Rhinolophus ferrumequinum: one gene and its partner. The protein of the gene in region 1 purifies or fractionates together with the protein of each later gene. This does not show direct contact. Links are inferred from orthologs where the notes say so. Each region holds a gene or a part of one and is shown on either strand. Other genes may lie near its edges.

Region 1 (8,869 bases):
CATTCCCATGGCCTGGAGAGCCCAGACTCAACACCCATTAGTGGAGAGCTCTCCTTCCAGCAACAGAGGACCTGGGCTCTGCCTCAGGTCCACACTGGACATGGGAGGGCACAGGAGTCCCAATTCCCTAGAGATGTGGCTTTTCCCATTCTCTGCTGAGAAACTAAATGGTGCACAGGGGGCTGTCCAAAGGGAACTTGGGGAAAGTACAGAGCAGGGCACTGCCACTGCCCTCCAGCTGGTTCTAAGTCAGCCTGAGGGCCAAGCACTCTCCAGTCTGACCACTGGGCTCAGGCAAATGAGCCTCGGGCACCCCTGAGGGAGCCCCTGCCCATTGGTGCCCTGGTAATAAAGGGTCCTCTAGGGACCCTACTACAGCCTAAGACAAGTCTGGCCCACGGGAAGCCTGAATGGGACAGAGATCAGTCCAGAGGCCCAGAGGTCCCACCTAGGAGTCATGTTCCCTCCTCCACTAAGGTCAGCCTGTTTCAGGCCCCACCTTTCTTAGCCATAAACAGGAGTTTCCTGCTGCCCTGCTCCTCTGCCACGTGGGGCTCCAGAGCTTGCAGCAAATCTGGGGAGGCCAGGAGGGGCCCAGGAGGCCTCCAGCTGCCTCCCAACAACTGTCGGCAACACCTCCCGATTTAGTGGCAGCTGTGAACACCAGCCTGCGGGCACCCCCCCCCCCATTCCCTGCTTTCCTTTCTCAGGGACTGGGGCTGGGTTTGCAGTGGACACGCTTAGGCCCAAGCCCTGCCGGCCCACTGCTGAAGCCTCACCCGCAGGACCAGGGGAAATAGAGACCTCACTCTCGTGGTCTGGTGTCAGGAGGCAGAGCCGAGCTTCTGGCCTACCCTCCAGCTGCTTCAGAAAACTGGGCAGGGGGCTGCCTTGGCTGGGCCTCATGCTCTAGCTAAACCATGGTCCATAGTTCCTGCTGCTGACCCTTTGCCATCTAATGAGGGAGTGTGTGTGTGTGTGTGTGTGTGTGTGTGTGTGTGTGTGGCGGGGGTGGGGGTGGGGGGCGGGCTCCAGTCTCAGGGGTGGGTATACCGTCCAGTGCTGCCATCAGAAAGTTCAACCCTCATATGCAGGCAGAGTCAAGAGCCAGCTGACCCCTCCTGGGCACCTTTGAATCCCTAAAGGAAAACTCCCTGGGGTCCCTGCTTCCCTGTGGGTGGAGGAGGGGAAATGCAGGGGAAGGCTCTAGAGCAAAGGGTTACAATGGTGATGGAAGTTTTAAAACAAGAGGAGGGGGAGGGAGAAGTGTTGGCCAAACCCCTTCTCGAAGAATTCCCTGAGGCTTTGACCTGGTTCCTTCCCCATGGGTTCTGTGACCTTGGTCCCTATCAAGAAAGGGGAGGTGGAGGTACTGAGACACTTATAAAAAGAGAAAGAGAGACATGGCCACAGGGAGACAAAGGCACAACCTGTGATGGAAGGGAAGCAAACAGGCGACAGAGTAAAAAGGATGCAGCCACAAGGGTGGGGGGGGGGGGAAGGTGGGCATCGGGTTCTGAAGGCGCCTGTGGGTGCCCAACAGAGCCCTAGGGCCTCCACGGCCATGTGCTCTGAACACCTGGGCCAGGAGCTGCTGCCTGGTACCTGGACTTTGAGACTGAACCCTCCTATACGCCCTAGACATGCAGGGAACCTGGTGTGGGAAGCACCCTTAGCTCGAAGGAAGAGGCCAGCTACTGCAGTCGCCTAAGTCAGAGCAGCTCCTCAGCCCCTCTCCCTGTCATCACAGCAGCTTAGGTAAGGCAGGTCCCACGTGGGGAAGGCACCAGCGTGGGGGATGGAAATGAAGCTCGGAGACCTGGCTGCTTCCCTTCACAGCCCTCCTCTCAGCTGGCCCAGCTACACCTGGACTCCCCAGCCACACCCCCAGCCCCCTTCTGCTATCCTCTCTAGGCCTTAGGTCCCCAGGGCCCCTCTTGCAGCTCAGCCTAATTCTCTGCCACTGCTGTCCCCCTCCCAACAGTGGATCCTGTTAGGAGAGCCAGAAACAGCACCCTAAGCAACCTAGAAACAGGAAAACAACTGCACAGCCCCACCTCCCCTTGCCTTAGTTTCCCTGGATGGAGATCACGGACTCAGTGGCCTTCTCCCAGGGCAAGGATTGATTGATTGCCTGCTAGTGAGTGGTGGCCAGGATATGGGCTGGATAGGAGGGCCAGAGGTGGATATGGGAAAGGTAGCCTATGGCACCTGGGGGTCCACACCCAATGCCGTGAAAGGAGAGGGACCTCTGCCTGACACTGAGGGAAGTGGAGACACCATTATCCCAGATGAGGAAACTGAGGCCCAACAGCCGGCTAAAGCTGACAGGAATCAAATGAGAGGGGAGGGCACCAGGTCTCTGCAGGTGGTCCTTGGGGGGTTCAAAGGCTGGGCCTTGGAGGAGGGTGGCAGGACAGGAGCTGGACTGCTGTAGACTGAGCTTTTGGTGAGGGACAGAGGGCCCTGCTCCCCAGAAGAGAACCCGGTGGAGCAGGCTTTCCTAAGGGGTGCAGACAAAAGCAGTTTGGCAGAGCTATGGGGGGCTGGGAGAGCCTAGGGTCTCTGCCAGACATTACAGGTTGGGGAAGGCAGAAACTCCCTGGTTTATTGTCCACCTCCCCCAGCCACAGCCCTGCTTCCCACCGCGGTGCCACCCTGACCCCCTTCCCAGTGCTGCTGACTCGCCCCCGCTGGCACAGCAACACACATGCGGGAGGCACACGTGTGAGCACCAAGCCCCGCACCACCCAGCAGAGACATATGTGTCCCCCACCCCCACCATCCAGCGCTAGGTCGGTGTCCTGGACCCCGGCTGGGCCCCAAGTTAAGGCTTGAAAACTGGATCTTGCCTCGGGCGCTGCTGGTCCCCAGGGGCTTGAAGCCCCCTCCCCCACTCCGGCAGCCCCGCCCAGCCCCCTCCAGGTTGTCGCCCATAAAGAACTCTCCGTTGTCATGGAAATTAGTGACTGCTTTGAGAAAGGGAGGGGGGCGGGAGCAGTTGGGAGGGGCTGGAGGCGGCTCTGGGAGTCAGGAGGGACCACTCAGCCCTCGGCCCCTACCCCCCTCCGCCCCCCGCCATGGGGCACCACGAATGTCCGAGGGTTAATGTTTTCACAATTAGTAGCCCAGCGAGACGGGGGCGGGGTGGACAAGGTGCGGGCGGGGGGAGCAAGGAAGAGGAGATTCGCCTGGACTTGAGTCTCAGAGGCTTCCCCTGGGACCCCCGAGCTGTCAGAGGTGACAGGCAACTTTAGCCCAACCCCGCACGCGGACCCCCAAATCTGCACAGCCTGTGTGCTCTGCCCCCGCAGGGGCCCCAAGCCTTCGCGGGGCCCCTGTACATTAAGCGACCAGAGACCTAATCCCCCAAGACCTCACAACGTGCGTCCCAGGGACGCTCCCCCGCCCGGCCCGCCCTCACCTGCAGCGCCGGTTGATCACAGGAAGAAGCGATCGCGGGCTCAGTGGGGGCTCCGAGGGCTCCGGGGTCAGCGGGCAGAATCAGCTCCGGGCACGCGGGCCAGACGCGGCGCCAGCTGCAGCCGCTTGGGCTCGCGAACCTCCAGCATCTCCCGCCGCTCGCCCGCACCGGATTTGCACCCCGGGCCGGGGGCGGGCTGGGGGCGGGGCCTCCCTCAGCCGGCTCCGCCCCGACCCTGGCCGAGCTTAAGGCCCGAATCCCACTCGAATGCAGGCGGACCAGGGGTGGCAGCGGAGTCGGTGAGCATTGGGCTGCCCGGCCCGGGCCAGGCTCTCAAAGGGCTCCCTTAGGCCCTGGGACTGACTGCGCCACAGGGCTTAATGGAGGGGCCTTCTTCCTATGCCCATTGTAGGGGCTGGGGAGTGGGAAGTGTGGGGAAAGCCTGAGTCCTAAAGCTGCACAGGAAATCTCTTGGCAGGTAGTGTCCCGGGGGACCGGCGCACTGCCCAGCTCCCAAAACCTGACCCTAAGGGTGGAACCCGCTTAGAAGAACCAAGTGGACAGTCGCTAGCGCAAGCTGCGCTATAGAGTAGCAACCCGTAACTAGGAGTGGGTTGTGCCCAGACCATGGTGGCAGTCTCCTTTCCACCCCAACCTCCATTCCCGCAAGGCCAAAATCTTTCCCATTACCAAGTCCCAGCCAGGGTGGCTGGCCCAGTCTGTCCCTTCTATGTAGCACTGAATTTCTCAAGCTATAAAAGTCACCTATGGCATGGTGTGGAATCTGCTTTCTTCCCAGTTATATCACCCTCAAACACTTCATGAGCAGAATCACCATCAACGGCCTGGGCTGGGATGTGGGGATACAGGAGACCTGGCCCCTGACCATACCCGGCCACTGACTGGAGGAGGCTGAGAACTACCAGGCAGAAGCTTTAAAGGAAGTCCTTGGCCATTTCTCTGTGGACCCAGTGCTTGCCCTGCTCCCCTCACAAGGTCTGAGGCCATTATCTGAAGGCCAGACTTAGGCTTCTCGGTGCCTGGAGTTGGGGGATCCACCCAACCCAACCTTTCCAGTGAGCCTTCTGACCCCATCCTGGGTGCAGCCATCTCCAAACCCTGTACCATACTGAGTCCGGCTCCCCTGCGTGGCTCCCCGTGCTGCTGACAGAGTGACTGCCCGTGTGAGGAAGCTGGGGCTGGGGCTGAAGGACTAGCCTGGCAAATGACTATTCAAACAAGGCCCCTCTATATCTTCCTACAGAGGGATTGTTGAGGAGCCCTTCATTTCCTTCCCTGGCTTTGGGTCACCTGTCCCAGGCCAGGCTGGTGCCACCTCTGAGTGGTCTCAGTCATGGCACCAATCCCACTACTGGGTGGGAATCTCCTGGCAGGCTGGGCACCTGCAGCGCAGAGACTGTGTCTCATCTCAGTATGCTCAGTCCCTGTCTGTAGAATGAAGGGACAGCCTAGCATGCAGTCCTGCCTCCTGTCTGCCCGCTGTCCTTGAAACAATGGCTCTCTGAGTTGGATGGTGCAGCCGAGCCATGGTTTGCCAACCCCACACATGTCACACGTGTTTTCTGTCTTTCCATGACCTTGAGGTCATGGATATCCAGGCATGGAGAAGCTGAACTGAGGAGAGGCTGGAACAGGGCACTCAGAGGCAGGGGAAAAGGTGGCTGCGGGAGCCCTGCCTCCTGCTGGCAGTGCTCCACCTCTTCTTGGTCCTGTGCACACTCCATGTGTCTGTGGGTGAGAGCACGTGGCAGGGTATATGTGCACACGTGTAAGTGTGTCTGTGTGTTTGCGCTCTTATGCTGAAGGAGAAGGCATTAGCACAGTGTGTGCAGTGGGGCCCAGGGGCACGTGTGTCTGCATTCTGTGTGCACCCAGGCATGCTTGCTCTCACGTGCTCACGGACGCTGTAGCTAGTCTCTGGAGCCACTGGTCCCTGGAGACACTGGTCCCCTTCCTGCCTAACACAGGCCTTGGGATTGTGGAGATTGAATCAGGGTTGTGAGGACAGGACATGGGAAGAGGCTGGACTATGCCCAGGGGCGGGCAGGGGCTGTGATGACCCTATGTCATCGGTTGTTTCTAGTCATCCCCCTAGGGTAGCCCCTCACTCTCAGGTGGGGGGCAGTGGGGTGGGAGGGCAGGGAGGTGTAGCCAGGTCTTTGCCCTCTGTGGAGAGGGTAACCTAAAGACAAGAACCCAGGGTTGAGACTGAGCCATGGCTTGTCCCTCAGTCTCCAACCAGAGAAGCACAGGCAAGGCAGGGCTTCATTGTTTTGGCTTCAATCTCCAACTGCCCTCTCTGGGCAGGAAGTAGCAACACCAGCTGAGTGCTCTTCCAGACTATGGACTGGGCCGACAGAGCTTCATTCCTACCTCCCCTTTCAGAGCCAGACAAGGTCAGGGGCCGTGGCTTCTAGCCACCCCCCCGCCAGAGGAATAGCGGGAGGCCCTAACACGGGGCAGTTTGGGGTAAGAGCAAGAGCAGTTGGCTTTGGCATTGCCCGGTATCCTTTATGAGGATCTCCTGAGGAGGCCTGTACCCTGGCCACACTATGGGCAGGGGCTGCCTGGGTTGGAAGGCTGAAGAGGAGGAGAGCCCAAAGTTGACTATTCTGGCTCCCACCAGAGCTAGATAGTCAGAGAAGCAGGATAAGGCGCGAGCTGCTGTATCCATAGAGCACACAAAGCAGGCCAGAGCCTCAGCCCCCAGCTCAGGTCGTACCCCATCCCCAGGGGCCAGGACTTATCTGCCCCCTACCCCAACTTCCTGCTCCAGGGCACCAAAGCCAGCACTCCTATATCCTCGTATTCTGACTGGTGGACAGAAGCCCCTGCCAACCTAGTGTAGAGCTCCAGCCAAGGTTCAGACTTTAGGAGGTACCTGCATTACCAGGCCAGCTACCCCAAGAAGCCAAGACTCTGACAGGGACTGTCCCTCGGGTACACAAAATGCTCCAGGCCCCCAGCCATCTTTGGAACTTTGGGGCTGTCGTCTATGTTGCTGGTCTCAGCCCCCCTGTAGAGGGCCCAAGATGGGGGAGGGCAAGTAGTCTTTTCCTCTGGTGCTAGGGGAGGGGGCTGCCCCCCCATGACTCACTCCAGGCTGTGTGGGTTATTACATTATGTTTGAAATTGCCATGGCAACCAGCTGGCAATCAAGGGTAATTGCGCTTGTCACCAGGGCAACGGGGCAAAACCCACAGCAGCCATTCTCTGTGTTTGCCCTTGGGGTTCAGTAAAGGTCAGGCGAGACCTGTCAGGCGAGACCAAAGCCAATGCCAAGGGGCTCTGGGGCTCTCTAGAGAAGGCTGCCAGGACCCATGGAGTTCCAGTGTGCAGAGGCAGGGTGTGCCTTAGGAGTGCCAAGGCCGCCATCCCTGACCCTGGGCCAGGACTCCTGCCCCTTCCATACCACCTTGGGCCTAAAACATGCCACAGTGCTCAAAATAAGCAGAACCAGAACTTTTATGTGCTCACAGATGGTACTTGTAGATGGCCCATGGGCCCTCCTCCTCATACTCACGGCGGCTGAGCCACAGGCTCTGGAAGGAGTCCTGGGACGCCATGATGGAGCCTCCAATCCAAGCGGCAGCAACACGGTGGGGCAAGTCCAGCACAGTGGCACGGGGGCCCAGCTCCTGTCTCAGGCGCTCAGGAAAGCCTCTTACCAGGGTGCTGCCACCGTCTAGTACCACATTGGCCAGCAGCTGCTCCTGCTGCTTGGCCTCCAGCTGGCTGATGCTTAGGAGGGCTAGTTGTGCGAGGCCTGGCCGGTTGAGGCCTAGCAGATTGGGCTGGAAGAGGGCCTCAGGGCAGCAGAAACACTCGGAGCCCAGCGTGATGACCTGCTTGTCTGGAAGCACGAAGTCCACCCCGGCCTGACCCTGGGTGCGGGCCATCTCAGCTGTCACATCCATGGCCACGTAGCAGCAGGCCTCTTTAATCTGGTTGACCAGCCCTGCATTGGGCAGTGAGTGCCCACCTGCCAGCAGTAGCTGAGCCAGGTATTCAGTGAGGTCAGCACCAGCCACATCCAGCCGGTAGATGTCACGTGGGGCCAGATCCCCACTGAGGATGGGTGCCACATAGGAGGTGCCATAGCCACTGCCCAGCACCAGCCCAGTGGTTCGCCCATAAGCATAGAGCGCCAGCAGGGCCTGGTGCACTGTCTGCATGGCTGGCACATGGAAACGCTCAAAGAGTATTTCGGCCACCTTTTCTCGGTTGGTGCTCGGGGAGACGGGTGAGTCGGCCACAAGTACTGCCAGCTGTTCAGGCTGCATGCCTAGCCTGCAGTAGAACAGGTGCTGCCACAGCATCTCCAGTGCGTCCCAGTCAGAGACCACGCCTCGATTCAGCACTGAGTAGGAGCCCTCTCGGTTCTCAGGCACCGCATACCTGGGCTGGCCCTGGACTGGCTGCTGCAGCAGCTGGATGCATGAGGGCACCACACTGAAGCCATGGTCCTCTCCAGCCAGTCCACATTTGGTGAAACCTGTGCCTGTGTCAATTACCACGGCTGCCATGTCCTGGTAGGAGCCCAGTGAGTGGCGGCGAAGCACTGGGGACTGTTCCGGCAGAGCATCCAGGGTGGACACCAGCTCATAGCAGGCCCCGCGAAGCAGGCCAAGGTGTGTGACCGTGGCCGAGTCTGTAATGTCTTCAGCTGTCAGCTTAGACTGGGGACCCTGCGCCTCAGTGCCCACCATGGCCATGGGCAAGACCTTGCAGCCAGTGCCAGGTGTGGTGAATGTAACTGGGGAGAGCTGCTGCTCCTGGGCCCTGTGAGAGCTGTCATGTTGCCAGGATGAGAGCCAATGTGTGCTGGAGCTTGGAGCGGCACTGGTACCCACCTTTTCTTTGCTCACATAGACACAGATTTTCTCAGGGATCTGGGGCACCTGAAGTACCCCCACATGGGTGGGCAGACCCAAGGACTCACTTTCCTGGCACAGGATGGAAGCTTGGCCAGGCTCCCTGGTGGTAGGGGGGTCTCTTGAGAGGATTGGCTCTTTGGAGATGGGGGGTTCTTGGAAAAAGGGAGACTGCCCAGTGAGAGAAAGCTGCCTGGCAAGAGGTGTTCCAGTGAGAGGGGGCTGATCAGAAAGGGGGGGCTGCTTGGTGGAAGGATGCTGCTCAGCTAGGGGAATCTGTCCAGAAAAGTGGGTTTTCCTGGGGAAAGGGCGCTGCTCAGAAAAGGGAGGCTGACCGGTTGGAGGCGGCTGTCCAGTGAGGGGATGCCACTCAGCTTGTGGGGGCCAAACACCAAGGAGGGCCTGCCCAGTCGCTTCAGCCCAAGTATTTTCAGGATGAGCAGTAATGACCTCTTTCTGGTTGTGGCTGGCTGTATCCTCCTGGAGCAGGGATCTGGGCATCTCCTGGGGTTTGGTTGAAGGAGCAGGCTCTGGAGTCTGCTCTGAGTTC
Region 2 (8,218 bases), on another chromosome or scaffold:
CTGCTGGGAAAGAGGAAGTACAACCAAGTGAGTCTGGAGCAAACAGAAAGAAGTGGGTCTTGAAGCTGAATCTTGAAGGACAAGAAGGGAAGGTCATTCCCCATAGGGAAAGAAGGGAAGGTCATTAAGGCAAGAAGATCAGCACGTGTAAAGACTCAGACATAAAAGAATTTAGGGGACTCCAAGTTGTTTGAGTACAGGGTACATACAAAGATTAAGCAGATATAAGACGGAACACGAGATTCATGAAGCTAAAGCGTGAAAGCCCTTGTATGACAACACTGGATACTTGAAGTTCTTGGTCACGGCCATACACCTACTAGAACCTAGGACAGTGCCTGCCACTTATTCCATTCCAATTCTAGAATGAAATATAAAACAGGGTGTACGGACTTTTGATTATGATTCCTGTTTTTGCCTACCCAGAACCCACCATAATGGTAGTCTGACGACTTCTTTACCAAGGGACACCACAGCAGCCTTGTCCCACCTATCAACCCCTACTTCTGGGAACCCCCAAGCTGCCTGTCGTCAATGGCATAAAGATAGCACTCTCAGGTGCCGGCCAGTCTTCACCCCACGTGAACCTGATCAGCTTGAAGAGACCTTCCTATTGAGATGAAAAACATACCAGTTCTTTTGATGGCACTGCAAGAGGAAATTGGACACTTAAGGTGCAGTTACTTTAACTTACAAAACAAGTCCAATTATTGAATCTGCTGTATACCTTCATTCACTTGGTTGCCTCGCCCCCAAAATGTGTTCTTCAGTTTGCCCAGTTAAGCATATGGGCTGGATCTGTTCTGCCAACTCACACAGCACAGCTCTGAAAGTGGGCTTTCTAATTTTTATTTAAAGAGCCATTTAGTGAACCACGTTCTAAGTTCTAAGGAAAACTTGGAGGTGCTGGCCTCCACCAAGATTTATCGAGTAGTCCCTAGACACATAGCACTGCATTCCACCACAGAGGCTCCTGTTGCCAGCTCTCCTGAGAAAAAGCGGCCCTGACAAACTAATTCAGGGAAGGACTGACTCCTAAGGTAACTTTTCAGAGGGAAGTGCTGAATTCTGTCTAGCCTGATTCATTTAGGAGTCAGGCTCAAAGTCAAGTTAAACGTGAATCTTCACCAGGTCTCCCGTTCCCATTAGCTAACCCATTCTATAATCACAGAGGCCCATATGTCCCCAGGCCAAGGCAGCTCACACCATGTTTTTGGTATCTGTTAACTGGGAAAGTCTTACTAGCTTGGCTACAAACAGCAAAGGCTTGCTTTAATCCATTGCTTCCTCTTCTGATGTGTTATTTTTGAAGAAAATGCTTTGAAAGTTTGTTGTCGGCATTGAAATGTCTCTTCAATGTCCACCTGAGAAATGCATATACTAAAATAAAACATTTAGGGTTATAGATTTAGTAAGTCTGGACGTTTGCTGAAACTAATACGCCAGAGGTCTTTTTGTTCCATCACCTTCCCATACTAGGATTCTCAGACTTGAACAGAAAAGGAGAGAAATGCAATAAGGAAGCCCTCAAAGTCATCAGTGGGATCAGCTATATTACCAATAACCACTTTTTCCCTAAACTAACTCTAGGCTAGCCACGACTTCTAACAAGTTAGGGATACACCACAGAATACAAAATGCAGTCTAAATACAAGTGGGCAACAAACAGAAAATCATGTTCAAATTAAGGCATGGGCATTTTAAGTAACAATGTGTTACCATGTACTATCTTAGGTGGTCTCAGCTACAACAGCCACTGTAGACCACTTGGCAATGTTCAATCGTCAGGAAGGAGAGTTAACCTCTAACAATCCAGCAGCTGCGAAAACTGACAAAGCTAAGAAGGGTGGTTTAGGAAAGACGGTTAAGTAGTCTAGGAAGTGTCAGAATTCCGGAAGTGATTGGAGCTAAACTATCCAAAGTAGGGAAGGACGTGGGGGCACAAGTAATAGGGTTGTAGCTCAAATACTTTGAAGCAAGGAAGGCAGCAAACCTGATTCTGGGGGTGGGGCGGGGGCTGGACCATATCAGATCCCTAGGAGATGGGCTGGAACAGTGGCTTTCAAACTAACAGGCATGAGAATCACATGCATGGTTTGATTAAAAAGAGACTGATGGACTCCCTACTCCCCAGTTTGATTCAACAGGACTAGGATGAAGCCCAATAATTTTCATTGCTTGAACAAGTTCCACAGAGCTACTGATGCTGCTGATTCAGGAGATATTCAGAATCACTGGGCCAGGTTATTAGATCAAGATTCTTGGCTTCTGAAGTCTCAGAGCCTCAGCCAGATAAGGCTCCGTGAAAGTGGCATGGACACTTAAAAGTGGAAGGGCAACCTTCATAACCAAAGAACAAGAACTGAGGCACAGAGTGACTTCATCAACTCTACCATAGTAGTAACTGTAATATAATAGCTAAACCTATACGCCAGGCACTGTGCAGAGTGCCTTATACACGTTATTTTTCTTCATCCTCAAAACAAGGTATTACTGTTACACACATTTTTCAGACTACGGATGTTAGGTAACCTGCCCCAAGTGACAGACCTAACACGTGCTGAAGCAAGACTGAAATCATGGGTTCACTAGTCCATCACCCAGTATCAACACAAGTAGGTCTCCTCCTCCTACAGATGCTGCAGGTTAACAACTCCTCTTTACATCAAAATCACAGTTAATGCCAATTGTAAATCTGTGTCTCCAAAGTAGGATGGTAATTGAGGTTAACTCCTCAGTTCACAGGCAATCCTAAAACAAGACAAGTCTAAATACAGTTAAGGCAGGTTACCTGGTCTTCTGAAGCCTAAGATTGCTTGTTTACCTATTTTTAGTCTGTGGACGCCTAAAAATGCAAAGGGCACTCTTACCGCACTTTCAATCACCTAATTCTTGCATCTGAAATAGCCTTTCCCTAGTTTTTTTCCTTCTCCATTTAGCTCAAAGACCTGTGAGGATTAAGTGAAAATAGGTAAAGCGATATTGCAGTTAAAAGACTCAGTGAAATTAACCATTAGATTACCATTATATATGCAAGTGTACTGTAGGATTCTGAGCTCGGTAAGAGGAGGAGAATGGAGACCCAAGTTTGGCAATTATCACATTTTTGGAGGTAGATCAACTTATGAGATGGTCAAGTATGACAGAGGAAGAACTCCGCACACTGAGGAACAGAGTCCGCAGGACTAAACACTAGGAAGAATCACTGTTTACGCGGCAAATGTATGAAAAAGAAACGACTAATGAAATTTTAAGGAGCAGTCACGGGGAAATTACGCCGGAAAAAGGCACAATGAAATTTACTCTATTTTTCAACGAACTATACAGTTCATTAATCCTACTCCCATAGTCTGGGGCCGGGCACTGAGAAAGGGGCCTTGTGGAAGCCGAAACGACTAGAGAGGCTCGAAGGAATCCGCGGCCGAAACGCACTGCACACAACAGGAGAGAGCCAGCGTTGGTGCTGGATTTCAGGAACAAATGCAGTGTGGAGAGACAGTACCAGGAACCTCGGAGGAAGCGAGGTCCGTCCGCGCAGGCGGACAGGGAGTTTCCCACCCGTTCAGACTCCTCCGCCCGACCAGCTCTGACACCTCAACCTCGCCAGCCGGCGCGCGGCCGGAAGAGAGCCACGCGCACCCCGGCGGCACCGATGGCCGCACCGGCAGTCCCGCACCCACTCCTGGGCACCTTTCACCACCCACCCTGTCCGGCAACCCACCACCCACACTACGGTTCGCAGGCTGCAGCGAGTCTACGGAGTTCGATAGTTACCTGGAGCTCCACCGCGCCGCCATTACACCGGATACACGTCACTTCCCCTTCCCGGCCCCGGCAGTAGGGGGAAGGCGGGACGTGAAATGCATACAAACCTGATGCTACATTGGCTTTGATACGTTATCCTACTTATTTTTTAAAAAAACACATCATAATACCAGATTCAGAGCAGTGTGTCCGGCCACGTTTTCCCTTTCCCAAGGCGGCGACAAAAAAGAGAAGTTGATACAAACTACAAAGTCCAGCATCCACCGCCTGTGAGGGTGGAAATGACGTAAGCAATTACTGTCTTAGTTTTGAGAAGGCCGCAATGGACGCCGGGAATTGTAGTTCTTCAGATAAGCGACGGAAAGTGCTTTCAGGCGGCTAGTCAGGAGCCTGATGGTGATTAGGAAGAAGCAAAATATACTTCAAAACTATTTATTTGCAGTTGTAAAAAGTAGACCGTAGTAGTAATTTTCCGTGAAAATCTTAAGAACAGCAGACACCCTTTTCAGACTTTTTACGGTAATTAGATCAAGAACCCATTATAAACAAAAATATTTCCAACTGTTAAGTGCCTACTAAATTCCAAGATGTCAAGCCCAAGTAAGTGGGAGGATATTGGACCATAAATGGCGTGAAGTAATGAGGAGAAGCTAATTCTGTAGAAGATGATGCTTCTATTTTAGGGTAAGGTACCAGCTGGCCAGACATCATGATGAGAAGGACATTTTTTGGCGGACTTGGAAATAGCTATCTGTGGAGAGATAAGAGGTAAAACATCAATGTGTTTTAAGCTTTACTTTTCAATAGTAACAAAACCTAAAGTGTCACTTACTTGTTACTGTTTTGAGATCTAGCATTCCCTAAAACGACTGTATCTTTATGTTCCAGAACCTTGTCTAAACCAGGCCTGGTTTCTCCAAACACTTCTCTATTACAGTTTTAGTGTGCTGGTGTTACCAATCCTTTCCTAGAGGCAGAAGAGTATAATGCTACGGAGGACACTGGAGCCAGACTACTTATGTTTACGTCACGAATCTATTGATATACTTATGGATGATTGACCTTGGAGTAGGTTATGTCACACTGTTGTGTGTGATTCCTGATTGTTAGGAATAATAGTAGTACCCGCCCCACAGAGTAGTTTTAAGAATTGAATTAGTTGATACAGTTGTTGTGGTTGAGATAATTCCTCCTATATAATAGTATTATCTATTTTTTTAATATTTAAGAGATTTGGCTATCGGTAAAAGTGCATTTTGGTGTCTTAAAATATTTAAGTGAATTGATTTTAGTTGTACCAATACAGTACACAGAAGATGAACCTGGTAAACGTTTGTATGCTGTGGGGACAGAGCCAGGAGTGCAGTTTCCAGGCTCTCGGCCTCACGTGGAAAGGTGCTGGTTCAGGAAGTAAATGGCCATCAACTGTGATTGGATAGCCATCAGCTGTGGCTAGTTGGCTGTCAGCTGTAACCAGTGAGCCATTGGCCACTAATATAACTGCTGTGGCTATGCTAGCAGCAAATGGGGGCTAGCAAGAAGAAGGTGGCTAGCAAGCGCAGAGTGTAGTTAGCTAGCAAGTGAGGTTGGTTGGCAGAGAGAAATGGACAGCAGGTTGCGGATAGTGTAGCTCCTGCTTCCTGTGTCTCCAACCCAGCCGCTAGCGAGAATATAGTGGTATGACTCCCCTATCTGTGGCTCTGTGGGTGTTCCTCTTTGGCCTCAGCATGTCCTGCGTTCTTAGGTGGGAAGCGGGAGCTGAGACCCCCGCATGACACCCTGCATGACAATGCACATCTGAAAAAAGCACAATACCACCTCTACTGTTATAAAAAGAAATAGGAAAGTTAGAGTTGAGCCTAGGGGAGCTTAATAGAGCTAGAAAAGACTTAGGTTTATCATTTGGGTCTTCCAGGAAGCAAACAGTGAGATAGAGTTAAGAATGTAAAAAAGTGAAAGGAAAAGGGAGGAAACTAGATGGGACAGGGGTATCATTTATCCACACTGCAATAAAGTGATAGGCCCTTGTAACACAATCTTGCTCAGTCATTGGCTGGAGCCACTTCAGGAAGAGAGGCTTCAAATCAAAAGCTGAGGTGGACTTGAAAATGATAACAGTAGAAGGCTGTCACCTAATGACACTCTTCACAACTAGGCATGTTTTCTTGAAGAGGTGTCTGAGCAGCACACTTCTGTGTCTGTCACAGTCCACCAGGTAGATCCACTCTCTATACACATTCAGGGAACAGTTCCTCCAGGGTTTCAATGGGCCTCTTCCTGAAGGGAAACCGAGAAAAGAAGTTAGGGGACAAACTACAGCCCCCATCTTTGCAGTCGGTCCGGAGCTACAGCTGAACTCACTATTTTTTTCTTCCACTATTCCTTCTAAATTTCCCTCACTCTCATGTACCACCTCTGTGGGTCTCAGTGATTAAACAGTGGTGTGAAAACCCTAATTCCTGAGAAATTGGAGCCCCTGGTAATAAACTCCTTCTCAGGCAGGTGTTGCTGTACTTGCCCATTTACAGTCATGATGGTGCCCAAGTGAATCCCCTTAATTATTAAGAGGTACCCAAGTGAATCACCTGAATACCACACATATGCTTACTTTTCCCCATTGTATAACATCAAGGCTACCTTCTCCTGCTGATTAGCGTTAGCTTCTCCTGCCAAGCATTAAGCCTTCTTCTTGCCTACTTGTCACTGAACTCAAGAAGTGCAAAGTGTCTAGGCAACAGATGATGTTCAATTCAGTGGGACTCTTGCTGAATCCCCTAGCAATACTATGCCACCTTTGGGGACTAGGACCGCTAATTCCACAAAGATCAGCGTTGCAAGAACGGGAAACACTACATCCCCTAATGGGTCATTGGGAAGGATGGTGAATTGGGCTATTCCTGTTTTAATCCTTTGTTTCCTGGACCTGTGCACTGTTCTTGTTAGGGACCCTGAGCTGCCATACCAAGGTCTATTGCATCCTGGGGAACAGCACCTCATTCTTGCTGAGTATTATTTCCTAGCCGGTGCTTGAACTGCACCCCTAGGAGGCCATTCCAGTGCTCTATTAGGCCAGCAGCTTCTGGGATATGCAGCATGTGATACAACCAGTGGAACCCATCATCACTGGTACCCTCCTGCAGCACCTTTGCTGTGAAGTGGTTCTCTGCTTGGATGCTACATTGTATTATATTCCACATATGTGGACCCCGCATTTTGTAAGTCCTCAGATAGTGGTGCTGGATGAAGATTGTTTGGTAGGAAATGCAAATATATACCCAAAATAAGTAATCTATTTCCATGAGGTGGAACTGCTGTCCTGTTCAGGATGGAAAGATCCCAGTGTAGTCAACTTTCCACCAAGGGGCTACATAATCTCCTAAAGGAATGATGACATAGTAGGAGCTCAATATTGGTCTCCTTTGCTGGCAGGTTGAGGTTTCAGATGAAGCAGTAGACAGGTCAGCTGTGGTAAGTAGGCTGCATGCTGATGGGCCTATGCTTAGATTCCATTTCTGCCTCCATGGTCATTTCATTCAAGTGTCCATTGTGCCAGCACTGGGATGGCCACTAACAAAGACAGGCTAACATCATCCAGCTGAGTAATTTTGTTTACTTGGTTGTGTAGTGTTTCTTCCATGATGTGTACTTCCTGAGACATTGATATGTGATAATAAAATCTTCGTACTTTTTGCTCACTTTTCACACTAATATGTTGTGTATCCACATACCTCTAATCCTGTAAGACCTCAGTGTCTGCAGTCTTTTAAATCTCTTCCTTTTCAGCCCTCTGACCAGCCAGCCAGGCTACTTGCCATTGCCTCTTAATCTGTTTATGTCCCAACATTGGGTCACTTTTCCTTCCACACAAAGGGGATGACCAGGTGCACCCCTGACACTCTGCCCATTAGAAAGACTGTCCCTCTCCTCTGTTTTCAAGGTTGTTCCTGAGTGAGGCTGTCAGTCATGGAGCTGCTGTCCAATTTCAACTTTCATCCACATACTTAGCCAACTCATCTGTAAACTAAGTTCAGCCATTTTTTCTTCTTTTAACTAATTGTTGAAGACACTACTCCTACTCCATATGGCCATCAGTGTGAGCTGAGGGGTACTGATGCAACAATCATGCAGATTGTTTGTGCCCTCTGGTCTTCTTTTTGCTTCATCCCAAATGGAATTCTTTTATCTTGTGATGAATTGCAACAGGGCCCCTCAGAATTTATAACAGGATGTGTTCAACGAGATACATTTCATTTTGTGTCACTTGGTATCCCCTGGTCAAGCATTGTCTCTTTACCATTAGCATGCCAAGAGCTAATTTTTAAAAGATGTGCAACCTAGCTCCAGAACCCCAGGGATCCGACCTGGGATTTTTCTACTAAGATTTCCATTAACTCCAGACTGCATCTTTTCTAAAACTCACAAGTCTGACATAGAATCTGCCATATTCTATACC

Evidence for each region. Proteins that work in one complex are often made in the same cells at the same time.
Region 2: the proteins of CAMKV (region 1) and CWC22 purify together in Homo sapiens (affinity purification with mass spectrometry; 3 studies listed by BioGRID and IntAct, counting the BioPlex papers as one, with this or other methods). This does not show direct contact. The link is inferred for Rhinolophus ferrumequinum from reciprocal best matches to the Homo sapiens genes CAMKV and CWC22.

What each region holds. Positions count from the first base shown.
Region 1 is NC_046300.1:6,609,484-6,618,352, reverse strand, and holds the start of CAMKV (caM kinase-like vesicle-associated protein), read right to left. Parts: upstream 3,618-8,869; 5' UTR 3,425-3,617; intron 1-3,424. Other genes in the region: uncharacterized protein LOC117037109, read right to left, coding at 6,919-8,869. UniProt on the Homo sapiens protein: Does not appear to have detectable kinase activity.
Region 2 is NC_046291.1:46,208,984-46,217,201, reverse strand, and holds the start of CWC22 (pre-mRNA-splicing factor CWC22 homolog), read right to left. Parts: upstream 3,830-8,218; 5' UTR 3,775-3,829; intron 1-3,774. UniProt on the Homo sapiens protein: Required for pre-mRNA splicing as component of the spliceosome. As a component of the minor spliceosome, involved in the splicing of U12-type introns in pre-mRNAs. Promotes exon-junction complex (EJC) assembly.